Linked DNA regions of Sus scrofa. The protein of the gene in region 1 interacts with the protein of each later gene in a pairwise test. Links are inferred from orthologs where the notes say so. Each region holds a gene or a part of one and is shown on either strand. Other genes may lie near its edges.

Region 1 (7,273 bases):
CACAGTTCTAATAACAAGTGCCAGCCCCAGACTACCCCAGGTGTCCCCACCCTGTCCATCCCCACCACAGTACCTTGGAGGACTGGTACCCACACATTCCATTAGGTACAAAACAAATGAGAAATAACAATAAGCACTTAAAAAGAAGCAAAGAAGTTAAAAAGTTTTCTTCTTTCTGTGTCTATTTTACAAAGTAGAAATGCTAAATAAAAGTTAAAATTCCCCCAAAATTCTCTCTACACATCTAGGAGCAAACTCTGGTTGTCAAACATAAAAGGAAGGAGGGAAGATGGAAAGACATAAATTATATGCAGGGAAAAAAGACAAGGACAACAACTGGAAACTAGGGTATCCCTAATAAACAGAAAATCCTTTCTTGCTTACTGACAAAAGATCAACTAATTGCCTACAAGACAAAACTAATCTTTGCTTTAATCACACTATCTGATTATATAAAGAATTCAGTTTTAGAGGAACCAACAAACAGAATCTGGAGTCCTAAAAAGTTCTAGCTCCCAAACAGCACCAGAGACCCCATTTGCTATCTTCTCTTTTGATTTCTCCAAATTCAAAATCTGGTAAGAAAAACGCAGTTGCTAAGATCTTTTCAAATTTCTATTCTCTGGCAAAGTGCTGTACTATATAAACCTGTTCATACTGTAAAAAACTTTATATGAAAACATCCAATTCTCTAAAATAAGCTTCACTAGTGACCTACAAATGGGTCCACATGGCCTACTTGCCTCCATTTCCCCCCAAAGCAACCCGTATTTAGAGGACAGGGATATTCAACAATTATCCGACCAAAGTGTTCCACATATATCTTCTTCAATACACACACACACACACTTTCCTGGGTATGGTATCAAAACACAGAAGCATCAGGCATTTAAAAAAAATTTCAGTGCTATGTAAAAAGATGTAAAATCTTCTCAACTTTTAAATATCTGCTTTTACAACAGAACTAAACTGCTAGGGAACTAAACTGCTAGTTTGGGAAAACGAAATTAGCTTTAAAGTCATCCTGTGAAATAGCCAGCTAAGAATAAAAGTTTTATTTTTACATATCCCAACCCAGGGCTAAATTGGAGATTACTAAATTATGTGTAGGCCCTACATACTAAATATCTAGTACATGTATAATACGTAACTATATATGCCATTTACTTCAATATATATAAAGCCAAGAATCCAATAGTGGCTTTTCTTAACTTAATAAAAAATAAAAGTTACCTAAAAAAGTAGCATGAGAAATATAAATAGATTTGATGTAATTACAAGAAATTCTACTTTTCAACCCTGCTTATTTTATTGATTTATTTATTTTTGGCCCAACCCGCAGCACGCAGAAGTTCCAGGGCCTGGGATTGAATCTGCATCACGGCAGCGACCCAAGCCACAGCAGTGACAACGCCAGAACCTTATCCACTGAGCTACCAAGCCCTGCCTTATTTTAATTCAGCTCAGCTGCTCACTGTTCAAATGTCAAGGCATCAATGCCAGTAGAATAAAAGAGTTCGCTGCTAATTGTTTCCATAACTCTTTCCTTTACCCCCAGAACTGTGCTCAGAGGGGAGAACTAGTTAGTGACACCATAAAGGAAGAAAAGATGAAACCACATTAACAAGGACATAACAACTCTCACTCTAAACACTATAACACTGATCCCTGTCCTCGGGATCTGAGGTTTCCCGTCAAAATATAAAAAGAGTTCAAATTAAATCCTTCAGAAAGGGACAGAAGAGAGGACCACATAAGGAAAGAATGCCTTCAAAAACATAATAGAAACCCTATATAAAAAGTCATGCTTGAGAAATGGCCAAGGCAGCTTTCTCTGACATCAAAGTCTCAATTATTGTGACTAATTCTCTATCCCAGGTGAATTACCCCAGAAACAATACAGCATCAATTGTCCTTACTGATAAGAAAAGATTAGATATATTTAGATGACCATTTCAGTCTGAGGGAAGGAGGGGAATCATTCACATACTCTCATAAATTTGTGCTAATATGGGAAAAAAAGAATGGATATACTTATATGTATAACTGACTGATTTAGCTGTACACCTGAAATTTTTTTTTAAACAACCTCTAACCACCACAAATGATTCAGTACAACGTGGGAGCTGGCCAACACGAGAGCTTTACTTAGAAACTACTACTTTTCTCCATAAACACAGAGACCTCTAACAAAGGAATATACACTATGAAACTGGTTATAATCTCAGCTTTCTTGAGCACTGCAGACCACTGTGAGAAACACTTGAATCCTAATGCTAAGAAACACTCAACTATAAATAAACATGGAGCTCCACACAGTCCTCACCTGTGTGAGTGCAGAACACTCCACATACTTGACAGCCTTCAGGTCACGGGCCAGCTTTTCAGCAGTCTCTGGAGTGATAGGCTTCTGTTTATTCTTGGCAAGTTTCTCAATAGTAGAGGGGTCATCTCTGAGATCAATTTGGGTCCCAACGAGCAAGAAAGGAGTCTTTGGACAGTGGTGAGTTATCTCAGGCACCCACTAGAGAAAACATATTTTTTAAAACACATTTGCATTAATCCACAAGCCCCCAAAGCTATTTAACAACAAGTCAACAGAAGTTCTATGACAATCCTTTTTTTCAGGGCAAGAATACTTGACCAACTCACCTTTTCTTTCACATTTTCAAACGAGGATGGAGAGACCACTGAAAAACAGACTAGAAATACATCTGTTTGTGGATAACTCAGCGGTCGTAATCTGTCATAATCCTCTTGCCCTAAGGAGTGAAAAATTGAAGAAATCAGCAACTGAATTTTGGTGCCCTCACAACATTAAACTCACAAGTCAGTCAACAGATTAAGCATGCAGTTAATAGCACACATCATTAATGAGAAAGCAACTTATCTAATAAAATATTTGGTTTTGTAACAGAATATGTGAACAGTACTTTCACTCAGCTAACTTTATTTAATATTTCAGGCCCTTAGAACAGCAATGAATTTATTATATATTCATTATTTGCCTTATTACCAGTTTCTTTTGTTTTTTAGGGCCCCTGGGCTAAGGGTCAATTGAAGCTGCAGCTGCCAGCCTAGGCCACAGCCACAGCCACACCAGATCCAAGCCACATCTGCAAACTACAATGCAATTTGTGGCAATGCCAGATCCCTAACCCACTGAGTGAGGCTAGGGATCAAACCTGTATCCTCAAGGATACTAGTCAGGTTCTTACCCCTCTGAGCCACAACAGGAACTCTGCCTTACCACCAATTCGTAGTTTTCAATCTTTGTGTCCATTAGCAACACAACAATAATGTAACCAAAACAATAAGCTGTTACTACAGAAATGATTAAAAATCAAATCCAAACACAGACATTCTTATTATAAAATGGTAATCAACTTCAGGAAATTTAGCATTGATATCATACTCCAACATCTGCATTCCAGTTTTGTTGACTGATTCAAGTACAGTTTTTCCTGCTTTTAAATATGGGACCATGTATTGGATTTAACTGTCATCTCTTTTTTTTTTTTTTTTTTTTTTTTGCTTTTTTTTGCTTTTTAGGGCCACACTCCTGACATATGGAGGGAGGTTCCCAGGCTAGGTGTCGAACTGCAGCTATAGCTGCCGGCCTATACCACAGCCATAGCCACACAGGATCTGAGCCGCATCTGCAACCTACACTACAGCTCTCAGCAATGCTAGATCCTTAACCTACTGATCAAGGCCAGGGATCAAACCTGCAACCTCATGATTCCTAGTCGGACTCTTTTCCGCTGCCCCACAATGGGAACTACTAATTGTCACCTCTCTGTAGTCTCTTGTATTTTTTTTTTTTTTTTTTTTTTTTTGGTCTTTTGGCACAGTGAATTAAGAATCTGAACTGCAGGAGTTCCCATCATGACTCCAGCATTGCCTTAAGCTGTGGTACAGGTTGCAGACACGGCTCAGATCCTACGTTACTGTGGCTGTGGCGTAGGCCTGCAGCTACAACTCAGATTCATTCCCTAGCCTGGGAATCTCCATATGCCGTGGATATGGCCATAAAAAAAAAAAAAAAAAAAAAAAAAAATATATATATATATACAGCAAATAAGGTAAAATGTTAACAACTGGTAAATCTGGTTAAAGGGTGCACATGGGCTCCTAGTAGTACTTTTGCAACTATTCTGCAGACTCGAAATTATTTCCAGATATGTTTAAAAATATCCATACACATTTCCAAAACTGTGAAGGGAAGTCAGGAGTCACAGAGGAAAGATTTAATCCAATTTCAAAACTGAGCTATGTATTAAGAGAATAATTACATACTTAATGACACTGAACTGTACACTTAAAAATGGTTAAAATGGTACTTTTTTTTTTTTGTCTTTTTAGGGCCACACCAGCAGCATATAGAGGTTCCTAGGCTAGGGGTTGAATCGGAGCTGTAGCCGCCAGCCTATACCACAGCCACAGCAACACAGGACCTGAGCCTCATCTGTGACCTACACCACAGCTCACGGCAACGCTGGATCTTTAACCCACTGAGCGAGGGCAGGGATCGAACATGCATCCTCGTGGATGCTAGTCAGATTTGTTTCCGCTGAGCTACGAGTGGAACTCCTAAAATGGTACATTTTATGCTATATATTTTTTACTACGATAAGAAAAAATTTGAAGGGGGGGGAGGAAAATTGAGTATTTTGTATGCCGGTAAATTTTTCTGCCAATGTTGAGAAAGAATACAAGAATTTAGGCTAGCTATCGAAACATGATAATTAAAGATGTTACCATTATTTATATGTTGCCATTACTGCCACTTAAACAATACACTGTAAGTAGAAATAAGGGTACTGTCAGGATAATACTCTACAAAAAATGAAGAGATTAAAAGACAAGTTAAAACAAAGGACGTTAACAAAACAATAAAACCGATATCATACCACTAGCATTTACTGAATACTTTAGCAATATGCTAGGGTTAGAATCAAAGGAATTCAAAGGTATGCACTAAGATGCATAACTTTCACTTTTAAATTATAATGAATGTACAATATAGACAAAGAAGTGATTTTAAAAAGAAATAATGGGCTAAAGGAAAACAAAATCAGCCAAATCCTAACAATTCTCTCAATCCATACTGCCTGAGCTCTAACCTCAGCTTGAGCTTTGAAGCATCAGTCAAAATTCCAATAAAATAACAAAACAAAAAATAAATTAAAAAAATAAGACAACAAAACAGTTAACCAAGCCATGTAAAAAGCACAGACCCTTCACATACCTTTTCTTAGCCCTAGTCCCTATTCAAATGGAATATATTTCACTAAAAATAACCCTGGCATAGACTAGAAAAGGCTTCATTTTTAGTCATTCAGGCCCTGCATCAAAAACAGATCCAAGTATGTATGTATTCCTGAGCACCACAAGGGGCATCTAAATGGAGGCCCAATGTTTTAAATGCGAACAGCCTTCTTTCTATTTATATCAATTGTTACAGAAAACAAATATAGCTACTCTTTTTTAATACTAGATCTAAAGCAGTATTGGTCTGTCCATTTACTTGGAATGAACAAGCCCTCAAAGCTATAAAATCTTTCTTTCCCTTTCACAGGGAGATTAAAAAAAAAGAAGAAGTAAAATTGTTCAATAAATAAAAAGTAGGCTACCTCACATCTCCATCTGTTACAAGTGCTACATTTAAAGGAAAGAGAATGAGTATGATACCTTAGATGAGCAAGGTCCTTCAAAATCCAAGCATAATATATTCAGGTAAAATTTAAGCTCCAAGTATGTCACAGATAGTCATTATTCACTCAAGACAGAGGCAGCACTATCACTTAGCATCCTTTAAGGAACACAACAGGATCAAAAAAACTTCACTCTATATGTGTGAGACAGGTTTTGACCACAGGTCTTAAACTATATCTACTCTAAGAGTACACCAGAGCACCACTTAACCTGCCAAAAAACAAGGTTCTATCTCATGGGTTGCTGGTTCTTGTCCTTGATAACGACCTCAAATGAAAGAGCTCAAACTCAAGCTAGAACTGAGGACTCTGGTCCACATGAAAAATATGAAACAATATTGTGGTATGAAAAATAAGGATATTGCCAAAAAGCAACATCCTTTTTTTTTTTCAGTCTTTTTGCCTTTTCTAGGGCCGCTCCCGCAGCATATAGAAGTTCCCAGGCTAGGGGTCCACCGGCCTACACCAGAGCCACAGCAGCGTGGGATCTGAGCCGCATCTGTGACCTACACCACAGCTCACAGCAACGCCGGATCCTTAACCCACTGAGCAAGGCCAGGGATCGAACCCACAACCTCATGGTTCCTAGTTGGATTCGTTAACCACTGCGCCACGACAGAAACTCCAAAAGCAACATTCTTAGAGAATTAAAGTAGGACATCATAAATAAGAAGAAAACAAATTAAACATTTCATAGAATTTACCACTGCAAATTAAAACCTAAACATTTTTTTCAATAACCAAGTACTCAAAATTTAAGGGCACTTAGTGATCTCTGCTTCATTTGTGCCATGAAGCTTACTCCTAAATAATTTCATAATACCTTTTATATCATGAAAAGAAAAAAGGAAAAAAGCTGAAAGTAAATGGGGGACACTCTGGAACCTGATATTCCTATTATTTTATGCATTAACATCTGTAAAAATCTAGACTATTGCATGTTAATGCAGAATTTACTGAAGACTCAAATCTTGGTCAAAATGCCTTTGGACCAAGGCGACTACAAATATCTGTATGGATAGCACTGTCATTCATTCCTGTTAATGTAATCAATCGATAACTGTAGAAGACTGCCAGATATGAGAAAACACCTCAATGAAAGGAGTTTCTTAAAAACAAAACAGAATAAGCTAAACTGGGTCATAGTGCACCACTATGACTTGTTCTGCATATTACTCATCTGCTAAGGAAGAGAATATTAGCTGTGCACAGAACACTTCCCAGTCACTGTGCTGGTTTTTTTAAAAAGACAATAAAGTGTATTACACAGCTCCTGAGTTTTTACATATGTGAACACTTTGTTAAACTGACTATCACTGAATCTTCACAGCATCTCTAAGAGGACAGGTTTTTTGTTTTTGGGTTTTTTGGAGAGGAGAGTATTTTAAACACTTTACACACCTAGGTAATTAAGCTCCACACAGTTAAGTGACTTGCCAGCTATTTAATCACTGTAATCAGTCGAGAGAAAGGCTGGACTTTAATGCTAGATAGACCAGTTAGCTAGATAGCTGGCAAGTCAAATATGCAAATCCTAAATCTACTCATGAGGAAAT
Region 2 (7,273 bases), about 52 Mb from region 1:
GGAGGCCCAGGAGGGCAGGTTGCACCAGGTGGGAACCATCTCCCCAAATGGGCCTCACCTCTAATCTCAAGCATCACTTCTGCCTCACAGCAGCCCTCTTTCCCTGCCTGTACTCCTCCAGATTGAAGTGTGGTTGCAGCAGGTGGGCTGGCCAGCACTTGAGGAGCCAAGGGAGCCCTCATTGGACATGCTACTCCAGGCCCAAGGCCCTTTTCAGGAACTGGACCGGATTGCCCAAGTGAGTTTGGTCACTTGTTCCTTGTGTAGGTATTGGGACATTTTACCAGGAACTAGGAATGCTGGGTGGGTGAATGGAAATCCTTTACTCTCTTGGAATTTACAGTCCAGCAGAGAAGATCAGTTATCACCAAAAGTTCAAAGTCATATGTATGTATTCTTTCTAGGCAAAAGCTCTGGAGAGAAGCAGCACAGCTGATTCTACCTGAGTGTACAATAAAGTCTTGATCCAGGAGGGGTGTTAGCAAGCTTTCTTGAAATAGTGACTTTTGAGCTGAGAGCTGAAGGAGAGGTTGAGCTTAACCAGGCAGAAGAGGGTTGGCGGATAAGAGACATCTCAGACTGAGGGAGCAAAAAGCACCTGCAAAGGACCTGTGGCAAGAGGGAGCATGATTTGCCCCAAGAACCATAAGGAGGACAGTGAGGATGAAATACAGGGAGAATAGGGCAAGATGAGGTAAAATGAGGCTGGAAAAGTGGTCAGTGGCCATATGCTGGGCCCTGTGACAGTGTAATTTAAGTGGAAAGTCATATAATCAGATCTATGTTCTGTGAACATTACCTTAGTTCATAGGTAGACAGTTACTTGGAGGATGGACATGCAGAATGCATTGAAGAGGCAGTTGCAGTGGTCCAGGATGGTGGCAGAGGAGATAGAGTTGAGATTTTTTTGTTTGTTTGGTCTTTTTAGGGCTGCACTCGCAGTATATGGAAGTTGCCAGGCTAGGGGTTGAATCGGAGCTAGAGCTGCTGGCCTACACCACAGCCACAGCAACACAGGATCTAACTTACACCACAGCTTACAGCAACACTGGATCTTTAACCCACTGAGCAAGGCCAGGCCTCGAACCTGCATCCTCATGGATACTAGTTGGGTTCGTTACCGCTGAGCCATGATGGGAATTCCTAGATTTGGGAAATTGATAGAATTCAATAGTGGAAACATAGGAAGAGGATAAGAGGGAGAGAGGTTGCAAAGATGAATAGGTACTATTCCTTGAGAGAAGGATTCGGGGACGGCAACCTTCTGGGGAAAGGGGATTCATCCATCCAGTCTTGGGTGTGCTTTGGGGATGACCATGAAGGAACGAGAGAGAGCTCAGAGGAGGGATCTGCAAGTAGAGGGTCACTTGGTGGTTGTGGGCTTGTGAATGATACTTGAAGATTGCCTGAGGAGAGAGCGTGGGCTGTTTTCATGGGCACCAGTGTTTAACAGCCCAGGTGTCGGGTGGAGAGCAGGAGGATGAAGCACCAGAGAAAGATAAGGAGAATCAGGAGAGTGGGGATGGGTCACGGGAGCTGGGGGAGAGAGTGTTGGATGGTGCTGAGTGGTTGAGTCAGAGGTGGGGGAAGTGGGGCTACAGATGCTCATGAGTTAAGCAGTGAAGAGAGCAGCAATTCCTCCAGGAAGTTTGGCTGTAGGGAGGAGCACAGAGAGAGAGGGGAGTGGGTAGGGGGTGGAGGGAAAGTCTTCAGAGAAGACACTTGACGATGACGTGTAGACATCTGTGGAAAAAATCTGGGCTCTGGGACTAGACTACCAGGCCAGGGCTTGCTGAGCCCAGTCTCTGTCTCCAGGAGCAGATCAGGCGAGGGGAGAAGTTTCTGCAACTACTGGTTGGATGGGATGCGGCTGAACTGGGCCCCTTTGGGGCCAGCTTTCTGGCCCTGCAAGCCCAGCTGACTGACTTCTCTAGGGCTTTGGCCCAGAGGCGGCAGAGGCTGGCAGATGCTGAGAGGCTGTTGCAGTTCTTCAAGCAGGTGGGTGAGGGGGTCCCAACCCTGGCTCCAGGTGGTCAGTGAAGTAGGGGTGGCTGCTCAGCTCTACTACCACCTGAGTGTTGCTGTGTATCTTACCTGTTTTTTCTCCTTGTCTTTAGTCTAACCCCCAAATCCTACCACTGGGGATGTGGCCATTCAATGGGGATGGGGGGTGGGTAGAGGAGAAGGCCCAGCAATCTTGATGGGCTCCTTCATCAGTGCCCACCTAGCTTTGGTATTGCAGGCCTCGACGTGGGCCGAGGAGGGGCAGCGGGTGTTGGCAGAACTGGAACAGGAGTGCCCAGGGGTTGTGCTGCAACGGCTACAGCTGCATTGGACCAAGCACCCTGACTTGCCTCCTGCCCACTTCCGAAAGATGTGGGCTCTAGCCACAGGGCTGGGATCTGAGGGCATTCGCCAGGAGTGTCGCTGGGCCTGGGCGTGGTGCCAGGACACCTGGCTGGCCCTGGACCAGAAGCTAGAGGCTGCTCTGAAGCCTCCATTGACAGGTAGCACAGCTAGCCTGTGTGTAAGCCGGGGCTTGGCTAGACCTGCCGCCCCTCCCCTGAGAAAGGCATACAGCCTTGATCGGAATCTGGGACTGAGTCTCAGAGAGTCTACACAGCAGTGCCACCATGAGGCTGTTGTGGCTGCCTGCCACAGTCCAGAGGCTGGAGGTGGTGTCCAGCCAAGGTCCTGCCCCACCATGCCTCCACCAGGCAGCTGTGACCCCAGGAGCCCCAACAGGTACAGGCAGTGAGCAGGGCAGGGAGGGCAGTGGCAGGACAAATGTCTTGGGTCCTGACTCCACCTCCTTGGTAGGCTTCAGCTGGTACTGGCGGAGATGGTAGCTACAGAGCGGGAGTATGTCCGTGCTCTTGACTACACCATGGAGAACTACTTCCCGGAGCTGGATCGCCCTGATGTGCCCCAAGGCCTCCGTGGCCAGCGTGCCCATCTCTTTGGCAACCTGGAGAAGCTGCGGGACTTCCACTGCCATTTCTTCTTGCGTGAGCTGGAGGCCTGTACCCAGCACCCGCCCCGGGTGGCCTATGCTTTTTTGCGCCATGTAAGCCTCACAAGCCATACGGCCCCTGGCTGATTCTGTCATACTCAGCAGAGAGCTGTTGGGTACAGGCTCTGTGACGGGTACAGCTCTGAACAGGACCAAAAGGTTCCTGTCCTTTAGTAGAAGAGACATAAAAGTAAAATCCCAGGTTATAGTTTGGGCTAGGAGGAAAAAAAATCAGGATAGGTGATTGTGAGTTAGTGGTGGGGAAGGGTATCTCCTTTAGAGAGAGCAGTTAGGCCTCTTTGAAGAGGAGCTGATATTTGAGCTGAGGCTAGAGGGAGGGGCTCCAGTTCCATTCAGAGGAAAGATCAAGTGCAAAGCCCTGGGCAGGAAAGCAGCCTGTAGTCATGGAAGAAACAGGTCAGTGTGGCTTAGTATTGTGAGCAAGGGAAGGAGGTAAGGTGAGACCAGAGCGGTGCTCTCAGAGCTGTGGGAGGATCAGAGCTGAATGCAGGACTTCTTTTCCAGAGGGCCTGTGGGCAAGCCCCTCTCTGCACAGTCCCTGTTCTCGCCAGATCGCCTCTCAGTCAAAGCAGGGCAGATTGGATCTTTTGGGGGAAGCCTCCTTGGGACCCGCCTGTTGGCATTTTGGTCCTCCCCAGCTGAGAGTAGTCTGGGCCCCTTGGATGCTGGCCCCTTGCACCAGGCTGAACTATGTATCTTTGCAGAGGGTGCAGTTTGGGATGTACGCACTCTATAGCAAGAATAAACCTCGCTCTGATGCTCTGATGACCAGCTATGGTCATGTCTTCTTCAGGGTAGGTGAGCCTGAAACTGTAGGGGGAGGGGGAATGGAGTAAATAACCTGAAGCCCCCTGATGGTCTCCCACGCACCTGGCAGGACAAGCAGCAAGCACTGGGGGACCACTTGGACTTGGCCTCCTACCTGCTGAAGCCCATCCAGCGCATGAGCAAGTATGCGCTGCTGCTGCAGGAGCTGGCGCGGGCCTGTGGGGGTGCTGTGCAGGAGCTGAGTGCCCTGCGGGCTGCCCAGAGTCTTGTGCGCTTCCAGCTGAGACATGGCAATGACTTGTTAGCCATGGATGCCATCCAGGGCTGTGATGTGAGTCATTCTAGGGCATGGTGGGCAGGGGCAGGTGTGAAGGGAGGGGGCAGAAGAGGTGGGGCACCCACTGAGCCCCAATCTGACAGGTCAACCTCAAGGAACAAGGGCAGTTGGTCCGACAGGATGAGTTCATGGTGCGTGCTGGGCGCCACAAGTCCCTGCGTCGCATTTTCCTCTTTGAGGAGCTGCTGCTCTTCAGCAAGCCTCGCCGAGGACCTGCAGGCATTGACATATTCGCCTACAAGCGCTCCTTCAAGGTAGGCTGACCCAACCCCTCCCTGCTCCCCCCACACTCCCCATGCTTCACCAAGCCCTTCTCCTGCCCGCACAGATGGCAGACCTTGGCCTCACTGAATGCTGTGGGGATAGCAACCTGCGCTTTGAGATCTGGTTCCGCCGTTGCAAGGCCAAGGACACCTTTGTACTACAAGCTGCCAACTTGGCCACCAAGCAGGCTTGGACAGCTGACATCTCCCGCCTGCTCTGGAGGCAGGCTCTCCACAACAAGGGTAGGTTCCCTGCCCATTACACCCCACATTCCCCTCCTCGGAGAGCTTATGTCGTCCCAGAAGGGCCCCAGGGAGGACCTAGGGACCTGGAAGCACTTGTGAGAAGGGAAAAGGTCCATCAGCAGCAACCCATCCAGGGTTAAGTACTCCAAAGTCAGGTAGTCTTGCTGTCACTGTCTCAGACTGTGGACACAGCATTAACTTCTGAGTATTAGAGGCCTCATGTCTATTTTATTTATTTGCTTATTTACTTATTTTGGCCTCACCATGGTACATGGAAGTTCCTGGCCAGGGATTGAATCTGAGCTGCAGCTTTGGCCTGTGCCACAGCTGCAGTAGTAAGAGGTCTTACCTCTAAAAGGAGAATTGTGACGCTTGTCCATGGAATTGTTGGGAAGAGAGAGTCTGGCACCAGAAAGGCTCAGTGCCCAGGACAGTGTGCTGGCTATGGGTGGATAGGAGAGACTTATGTAAGGGGGAAGGGTAGATAAAGGGCCTGGCTGATATCCAGATGTTCACTGTCCTCCCAGAAGTGCGCATGGCTGAGATGGTGTCCATGGGTGTGGGGAACAAGGCCTTCCGGGATATTGCACCCAGTGAAGAAGCTATCAACGACCGCACCATCAATTATATTCTGAAGTGCCGAGGTAGCAGTCAGGCTGCAGGGGGTGGGGAGGGGAGAGCTGCACAGGAGGCAACATGGACCTCTCTCAGCCTTAGCTGGTGTTCGCCTCCAGACCTTGGCCCAGCTGGGCTCTGGCCTGACCCAGCCTGACCCTCTTTTTCATGCAGAAGTTCGCTCTCGTGCCTCCATTGCTGTGGTCCCATTTGACTGTGACAGCCCCTACCTGGGGGCCTCAAACTCCCTTCCTGGAGACCCTGCCTCTTGCTCTGTACTGGGGTCCCTCAACCTGCATCTGTATAGAGACCCGGCGATTCTGGACTTCTGCTGGCCCCTGTATTCCACCAGCTTCCCAGAGGAAGCAGTACTGGAGGCTGAAGCCGAGCTGGGCAGCCAGCCATCTTTGAGTAGGTCTGGGGTTGGCCAGAGGCAGGAGGGCATGGCTTGTTATCTGGGCCTCCCCTCCTGACAGCTCACCTAATCTTTCCTAGCTCCTGAGGACTCAGAAGTCTTGTCCCAGTGCCCATCAGCCAGTGGCTCCAGTGGCTCAGACAGCAGCTGTATGTCAGGGCAGACCCTGGGCAGGGGCCTGGAAGACTTGTCCTATGTGAGTTCCATTTTACTTTATACCCACCAGCCCTTCCTCAGCCCCACCTAGGCCTATGGCTGCCTTGCCCTTAGATAGAAATGAGGGGGTGGTCAAAGTCATTTCTCAGAGACCCCGCCAGGACCCCGAGCTCGGGAAATAATTATTCATGCCTAGCTTGGCACCACAGGTCTGAGCCCAGGCTTAGAGGCGGTCAGTGGATCCAGGCGTCTATAGATCCAAGGAATATCACCTCTTTCAGGATCTGCTGTGACCAAGCCATGGTTGGCACCTGGGTTGCCTCCAGCCTACATACACAGTCCTATTGATTATCTTTTCTGATGTCTGGGTCAATTGGACAGACCAGCAGGGACCTCTCTAGGAGATTCTGGCTACAGGGCCAAAATGAGCCCCCAGTCCTTGGCTCCTGGCCTCCTGTCCCCTTCTTCTGTCTCCAGCTCCCCCCAGTTGCTCCCACCCAGAGCAGAGGGTGAACGTTTGTTCCCATGCTTTAGGCAGATGGGGCATCAAGTGACTCTGGTAGTGACTGGGCTGCCCCACCTCTCAGGATGGACACAGGTGGGTTCCCAGCCACTGCTTCCCAGCCCCTGGTCTCATAGCCAAGCTCCCCAAACTTAGGGGCATGCTCATTCCTATTGGACTCTTGCCTTCCCTGACTTTTCAAGCCCAGCCCCTTCTTTCCTGGGTCACATTGGTTATTCTGACTCAATGCTTTCTGCATAGCTTTCAGTTAGAGTTGTTTAAGATTATTTCACTGATTGTAAGATCTTTGGTATCTCAGAGATGGAGTACAGGTCCTTGACTTGTGACTTATTCTTTATTTGTTTATAATAAAAAATAAACTGATACACACCCTTGGATGGGCAAATGCATTTTGTGGATGTCCCCGGTTAAAAAGAATCTTGTTGGTAGGGTGGTGTATGTCGGGGCAGCATCTCTGGGCACCTTAGCCCTCTTGTAAGTACTTGCTCAGGACAGAGTAAGAGACAGACCTAGACAGGCCCCTCTGGATGAGCAGGTCCACACAACGGCTGTATTTCCTGGCGAAAGGCAGCGTGAGCTAGAAGGAAAGGCTAGGCTTATTCCTGACTTTGTGGCTGGTTGCCTACTCTAGCTTTGTGTGGATGGGTCGGGCCATCTGGGTCGGGCCATGGGCAGGGCAAGGGCAGTTGATGCTTTTGGGTTCAGTTCTGCCTGAAGGCATCTCACAGACCTGTGGCTAGGAGTGACTACCAGGGAACAGAAAAGAATAACCAGAGAATCAAAAAATGAATATTTCCTGCCACTGGTTTTCCCCTTTCTAGTTGTAGATGCTGACTTTACTTTCCAATCAACAGACTAGGTAGAAGCTAGTGTTTATGGTGACTATTATGTTTATGGTGAAAGGGGTTATAGTAAT
Region 3 (7,273 bases), on another chromosome or scaffold:
GTAAACACTTAACCATTTACTTAAGGGCAATGGGTTTTGTATACTCTGAATAAAATTCAGCTTGACTCTTAGTGGTAATGAAGCAAAGCATATGCAAGATGCCTTTGGCATTGGCATGGGTTCTGAGATTAGAACTTGAATCTGCACATATTTCCATTTCTCAATAGTGGGATGCCCTTTATATACACCACATAGCTTCTGGCTCATCTTTAGGCTCTATTCTAGAAGATAGCTACTGGCTCCCTGCTGTACGGAGCAAGCATTTCTTTCGATACTCCTCTGCCTTTCTCTGAATACAAACATGGTGGCATTGGGCTCTGAAATGGAGCCTTTCTCTTTGTAGAGGTAACCAGAGCACGTAAGGATCAAATCTCTGATTCTGCAGTAGCAAAGTGAGTTACTCAACACAAACGATTTCCATTCGTTTTCTACTTGACAGTCTAATTAAGTTTGTGATTTCACCAGCCTGGTGCTGTGTCTACCTTGTGTTCCATTTAATACCCACCAAGCTGCTGTTGCTCAATAAATCATTACTGATGATGAAACAAAATCTAATTTTAAAAATTATAGCTGTTCTGGAAATGCATTTATTTACTGGGTTAAAGTAATTATAAAGTAAGTGTTTCCTAGATAGATCATTTAACCATGGCATGTGATAAAAATACTGTCTTCTTCCCACATCTTGCTTTAAACCCCCCCCAAACCAAGCTACACCTTTTTTTTAACAGCAGAAAGCCATACCAAAGAATTTTGAAGACCCCTGTCATTAGACATAGTGATATCAAAGCATTTGAATAAACTGTTGAGACAGCTTAAGAGACATAGAAAATAACTCATAGTAATTTTGAAAACGGTAACTTCAAACATCATGCGATATCCCTTATACGTGGAATCTAAAAAAAGAATACAAATGAACTTGTCTGCAGGACAGAAACAGACTCACAGGCTTTGAAAACCAACTCATGGTTACCAAAGGGGACAGGTTGGGGGAGGGATGGCCTGGGGGTCTGGAACTGGCTTATGCACACTGCGGTATATGGAATGGCTGGCCAATGGGAACCTGCCGTGCAGCACAGGGAACTCTACCCACTACTGTGTGATAATCCATTTGGGAAAAGAATCTGAAAAAGAATGAATGTGTGTCTATGTGTAACTGGGTCGCTTTGTCATACAGCAGAAATGATCAGAACAGTGTAAATCAACTATACTTCAATCAAACTTTTTTAGAAAAAATGAAAATGATAACTTGGAGCTTCTATGTCACTTCGTCACACAAAAGAGCCCATTCTGGCCACTTTTGTGGGGACAAGAAATGACATTTGGCTTTCTCCCTTTCCGGTGGCTGAAGTACCTGCGTTTTCTTTGACTTACCCTGAGTGGATTTTCATTAAGGTAAGGGGGTTCACCTTCTACCATTTCGATTGCCATAATCCCCAGAGACCAGATATCAACTTTCGGACCATAAGCTTTTCGAGTCACCACCTCAGGAGCCATCCAGTAAGGCGTTCCCACCATAGTGCTTCGTTTACTTTGCTCAGGGGTGATCTGGGCGCAGAACCCAAAATCAGCTGCAGAGAAGAAAAGTTTGTTACAGTCAGCTCGAATTATTTTTCTTTTACAAGCGGTCCCCTTCAGATATGGCCATACCTTTCTTTGGTTAGACACAGAGCTTCCATAACTGCCTGGCTCATAGCCTTGTTAACTGATCTCGCAATTGGTTCAGATTGTAAAAGGGTCTGAGACAACTGCCTGATGTGATGTCATTTTTACTAGACCTCAGTCTGGTTCCCTCCCCATACTGCTTCCCTCTAACTTCCAGAATCTTTCAGCTTTCTAATTAGGTAGCTGTCATCTAGCAGGTGCAAGCCACTAGAAATTCTGAAATTTTAAACCCCTCAAATCTGGCCACAGTCTACAGGAACATGAACGTCAGAAAAATCGTTTATCTCATCCTGGGGTCTAAAAGCCGTCAAACCAATCACTTTTCAAGAGCCATTTTCTTCTCAACATAGAGAGAAAAAAGTAGGAATCCCATGACACTCGCTCAAATGCCATCTGCACCGTTATACCTACTCAATTTAACAGAGCCATCCATCCCAAGGAGAATATTGTCACTCTTTATGTCTCTGTGGATCACTTGGTTTGAGTGCAAGAAATCCAAAGCTTGGAGGCACTATTGAATCAGGGGGAAAAAGAAGGTTTCATTATATCACAATAATTTTCCAAAAATATATTTCATTTCTAGAGACATCTGGGGCAGGGATATAATTTTATGTTGTTGGGTGAAATAAATGACTAAATATTTCAATGCTATTTTGAAGTCACATTACCATCTACATCAGTGATACAACTTGGCGTTCTGCTTATGAAAGCTCCCGAATCAGACCTGGACATGAAGAGTGATGCTGTCTTGAGAAGCACTAAATTGTTAAGACAGCCAAATTAACCAATGAATATAATCCTGCTTGGACCTACTTATCTGGAGGATAGCGATTCCACTTGGTCTTATACACATAAGTAAGCATCTGCAACTGTGGCATAATTTGATTCGGCAGGTCTGCAGAGGGACCCAGGAATCTGCATTTAAAACAAGCGCCACAAGCTATTTCTCGATGGACAGAAATCCAGGTTTGGGAACCACTTCTAGGCTATGCAGTCACTAAAAGTACTTGTTTGGAAATGGCTTTGCATTGTAATACTCAAAGATGAAAACCACAGGCTAAGGGTTGAATAGGCCCCTGCATATTTTAATTTACTGCATGCAGAAAATATGTGTTTGGTTAACATGTGTGCATGTTTGGCAAGGAGGAAATGGGAATGAGAGGAGAGCAAGGAAGGAGGAAATTTAAGTGAACAATTTAAAATAAAAAACAAGGAAAGACTAGAAAAGACTATTTGAATTTATGTGTCCTCTCTTTCTTTCTTTTTTTCTTTTTTGCTTTTTAGGGCCATACCTGCAGCATACAGATGTTCCCAGGCTAGGGGTTGAAGTGGACCTACAGCTGCCGGGCTACACCACAGCCACAGCAACTCAGGATCCGAGCTGTGTCTGCGACCTACACCACAGCTCACGGCAACACTGGATGCGTAACCCACTGAGCAAGGCCAGGGATTGAACCCGCGTCCTCATGGTTACTAGTTGGATTCGTTAACCACTGAGACACAAAGGGAACTCCTGAAATTATGTGGTTTTGTTTTACTTTCATTGGGTTTCAAGTTTCAGTGGGTCAGAGTTCCTCTCTGTGTCTATAGAAAACCTCAGTGAGTGGGGTACAGCTGACAAAATGACACTCCAAAGAGGAATGTGTTTTTTTAATATTGAAAAAATTAATAAAGTAAATATCCTTAGTTTATTTGAAACGAGATATGCACTGTTATTGGAAAAGAGGCAGACACTCAGACGCACGGGTCTCTAGAATGTACTGTGAAAGCAACTTCTTTCTGGATTGAGGAAGGACCTTGCTTAAACTGCCTTCTAGAAAATGATGGGATTATAATGTGGTCTGTATTGTACATGGCTTCCACGGCACATGCAAGGCAAAATAACCATCATGTAAAAACTCCCCCCAGTCGGAAAGAAGTTCTATTGCCAACAGCATTGAATTGTTTTTCATATTCACCGACACTCTGGCATGCAGGCTTAGATACGGTACCTCGCGAATGGCATACAGAGAACTGAAATAGATCCATAGCAAAGCAACTAAAACAAACAAGGGACTGGAGAGGGAGAGTTAGGATTTAAATTGAGGTTAGGCTCGTCAGTCGCTCTTTAGGACAAAAGATGTGCTATTGCTACTTTGATGGTACCAACCTTCTCAATAATCAAAGAGAAGGAACTGCCAATTTTGGTGTTCTCATCAGCCAGAAATGCTCTATTTTCTTACCTCTCTGCAGACAGCTGCTATCTGTCCTTCATCCATACAGGTCTCCGTGACCACATCAGTCAAAGAGCCACCGGCCAAGTATTCCATGACTACCCATAGTTCATCACCCACTAAGTAGCTAAAACAAGAGGAAGAAAGAGATGATGATTCAGGCCAAAGGAAGTGGAGACTCTTCTATATTCCCATTAAGAAGGCAATGTGCAGTGAGTCTCTGCCTTTGGCCATCTTATCTAACAGGAGGAAAATGTCAATTATGCTAATGAGATATTTCCTTAGCATTAGAAGAGAATATGCATGAAAATCAAAGGATCATCAGATAAGTTGCATCATGGAGGAAGGAAAAAGCAAGGAGGCCTCTGGTGACTGACGACTGTCAGTCATTCCACTGTAAAAAGCTGGTTTCAATGAAAAGGATCTGTGAACAGCCCTTTTGGACAAGTCAGGTCATAGTGTTGACTTCTTGGAATGAACCCACGGCACAGAGATTTATAGGATTATTTATTCAGCTCTCAGCATTACGTTTGATTCTACTGAATCAATCACTGAACTCTTTTCAGGTAGTCGCTGAATCAAAGAGAACCAAAGAGACTCAGGTTGGCAATGATTTACTGTGCTGAGGTCTCAGTTCTGGTAGGAGTCGGTTGCGACACACCCATTATCTTTAAGGAGCCATTGAGGGACACACCCCAAATGGCCAGATATGGGGAGGCAGGTCGCCAGAGCCCCACAATTTTGGCAAATTCAAAAGACCTGCGACCAGCTGAAGGCACTTCAGCAGTATGATCAGGTCTCTCTTTTCGCCTGCTCAGCAAGAGGGAGGAATTACAGTGAAAGGGAAGGACCCCAACAATTCTACCCTGTCCTAAGCTTGACATCGGTGTGAAGCAAGACTTTCTATCCAGTGGTGCTCAAACTGCAGTGCCCGTGCGATTCACCAGGGAAGCTTGTTCAAGATGAAAATTTTCATTAAAATGCTTATTTCATCAGAACCAAATGCCTCATGAGTTATGGAGAGTAGCCTAGGAATCTGCATTTTTATAACTGCAATTTTTACGAGGTTACAAAAGCAGAGTGACGTCACTCTGCTGCAGAGGGTCCTGGAAGGATATTTTAGGAAGCTCCAATTTTGCCTGTAAAATCTGACCCTTCTTTTTGGGGGCTCCCTTTCATCTTCTTCGGCCTGCTGGTCTACCTGGGGCAAGACACAGGCAGCCAGATCTTAAGAGCACTGGGGTTGTAGACCCGGTCTTATTTCCTTTGAATCCCCCCAGAGTATACAGCACAGTGGTGCTAAACAAACACTTACCGAAACTGAATGAGACAGATGTAAACCACAAGTGAAGAGTTAGTGCTGTCTTTAAATGCCCTATTAATAACCCACCGCTAATACCACTGATGAAAGAGACATTAATTACCTGGTCTCGGAAAAAGGTTTGAGATTAAAGTCTCAATTCCCTAGACCTCGCTGCCAGTTAATCACAAAGCGCCCATTAAAGCAGGGCCAATGGAGCCGGCCTTCTTCACTTAGAGAGTCAGAGACTGCGGTGGCTCCAAACACACACTTGAAGAAATGTTTAAAACAGCACAGCTCTCTCTCCAGTAAGCAACAGTCCATTTCCTGGCAACACGGAGTCCTGATCCTCAGAAGGAAATTACACAAACTGCTCGGGTTTAGAAGCAAGACCGTGACATGCATGTTCAAATGGTTAAGGGGTGGACAAAGATAAATGGGTATAAGTTTAGCAACAGACCCGATGCTCTTACTGTTTTGCAGCATTTGCGAAATATGTGTAGAATGGATACTAAACGCATAGATCCTAAATAAAAATAATTGGCCAGGAAAATGATATCCCATAAAGAAAACAAGCACACGATGAGAGAAAACACTTACCTATCTAAATAATTAACAATATTTGGGTTCTTATTTTCCCTCATGACCAGAATTTCATTAATAATTAATTCCTTTTTGGGCTGCTGTTGAAGGTTCATCTGCTTTATGGCCACCTGAATCATGATTAAAATGCAGGAATGAATTACAATCATTAGACTAAACACAGACATCCATCTTTTTTGGCATACAGAGTCAGGCATACAAACTCTTTATCTTACTAGGCTCCTTCTCGATGCCACCACCCCCCGCTCCTTTCCTGTGGTCAAGCATGAACAAACCATTCACTTCAGATATTTTGGACACCAACAATGTAAACATGTCAACCCCGTGGTCCCCATCCTTTCAGGCATAGATGCCATCGAAGGGGAATTCTGATCGAAATAAACAAAGAAAAGCAAGACTCAGAATTGAAGGTTAACAGTTACCTCTTGTCCCGTGGCAATGTCCAGCGCTGTGTAAACAGTACCCGATGCCCTGTGAAGGTGCAGATTATCAAATGAATAAGCAAAGCGTAACCAATGTATTTTCTTGGGCATTGCGGGTAGTTATTTTCAGGAGAAGGAACTCAGCGAACTCAAGCTTCAAGGATGAAGTGCAAAAGGAACAACCATTTTGTATAATAATTGCTCCCCAAACTATCACATCTTTTTGGTGGGCTGGAAACCTGGTCACATTTTAGGTGTGCCATGGAACTAGGCAGTAATGAATTGAGCAAAATGGCTTTGCTCTTTTTAGGAAACTCTTGGAATTTTTTTTTTTTTTTTTTTTTTTGGTCTTTTGAGGGCCGCACCTGTGACATATGGAGGTTCCCAGGCTAGGGGTCCAGTCAGAGCTGTAGCTGCCAGCCTACACCACAGCCACAGCAACGCCAGATCCAAGCCACATGTGTGACCTACACCACAGCTCACAGCAACCCCAGATCCTTAACCCACTGAGCAAGGCCAGGGATCGAACCCCCGGCCTCATGGTTCCTAGTCAGATTTGTTTCTGCTGCACCAGGATGGGAACTCCCTCCTGGAATATTTTGAAGATTCCTTGGATGGGGCACAACCAACACTACAGTCCTTGATTAAACACTTTAGGGAAGATTTCGTCATATTTTGCTTAGGCAACTGTAAATTAATCTTTACTTCTTGCAAATGTATAGAGTAGGCTTTTTTCATATAGTTCTAATTTTGTTTCTTTTTTTTTTTTTATGGCCGCATCTGCAACATATGGAAGTTCTGGAAGTTTGCAGGCTAGGTAGGGGTCAAATCAGAGCTGTGGCTGAGGCCTACGCCACAGCCACAGCGACACCAGATCGGAGCCACTCTGCCACCTATGCCTCAGCTTCTGGCCACCCCAGATCCTTAACCCACTAAGCAAGGCCAGGGATCAAACCCGTGCCTCCAGAGATATTACGTCAGGTCCTTAACCCTCTGAGCCACATTGGGAACTCCTCTAATTCTTCAGCATATCTTCATCCAACAAATAAATCACTCCCAGTGCTGTAGCTATA

The links. The genes of interacting proteins can lie anywhere in the genome.
Region 2: the proteins of CDC42 (region 1) and PLEKHG4 interact in a two-hybrid assay, tested with the Homo sapiens proteins (2 studies listed by BioGRID and IntAct, with this or other methods). The link is inferred for Sus scrofa from reciprocal best matches to the Homo sapiens genes CDC42 and PLEKHG4.
Region 3: the proteins of CDC42 (region 1) and PAK3 interact in a two-hybrid assay, tested with the Homo sapiens proteins (2 studies listed by BioGRID and IntAct). The link is inferred for Sus scrofa from reciprocal best matches to the Homo sapiens genes CDC42 and PAK3.

The regions. Positions count from the first base shown.
Region 1 is NC_010448.4:80,077,949-80,085,221, reverse strand, and holds part of CDC42 (cell division control protein 42 homolog), read right to left. Parts: intron 2,763-7,273; coding exon 2,653-2,762; intron 2,525-2,652; coding exon 2,327-2,524; intron 1-2,326. UniProt on the Homo sapiens protein: Plasma membrane-associated small GTPase which cycles between an active GTP-bound and an inactive GDP-bound state. In active state binds to a variety of effector proteins to regulate cellular responses. Involved in epithelial cell polarization processes.
Region 2 is NC_010448.4:27,926,111-27,933,383, forward strand, and holds the end of PLEKHG4 (puratrophin-1), read left to right. Parts: coding exon 1-28; intron 29-121; coding exon 122-238; intron 239-1,815; coding exon 1,816-1,998; intron 1,999-2,242; coding exon 2,243-2,745; intron 2,746-2,820; coding exon 2,821-3,067; intron 3,068-3,738; coding exon 3,739-3,828; intron 3,829-3,911; coding exon 3,912-4,133; intron 4,134-4,222; coding exon 4,223-4,393; intron 4,394-4,467; coding exon 4,468-4,645; intron 4,646-5,175; coding exon 5,176-5,292; intron 5,293-5,437; coding exon 5,438-5,674; intron 5,675-5,758; coding exon 5,759-5,925; 3' UTR 5,926-6,043; coding exon of another isoform or gene 6,044-6,049; 3' UTR 6,050-6,570; downstream 6,571-7,273. Other genes in the region: BTB/POZ domain-containing protein KCTD19, read right to left, coding at 6,821-6,934. UniProt on the Homo sapiens protein: Possible role in intracellular signaling and cytoskeleton dynamics at the Golgi.
Region 3 is NC_010461.5:91,210,234-91,217,506, reverse strand, and holds part of PAK3 (serine/threonine-protein kinase PAK 3), read right to left. Parts: intron 6,250-7,273; coding exon 6,201-6,249; intron 5,889-6,200; coding exon 5,776-5,888; intron 4,003-5,775; coding exon 3,885-4,002; intron 2,174-3,884; coding exon 2,074-2,173; intron 1,569-2,073; coding exon 1,372-1,568; intron 1-1,371. UniProt on the Homo sapiens protein: Serine/threonine protein kinase that plays a role in a variety of different signaling pathways including cytoskeleton regulation, cell migration, or cell cycle regulation.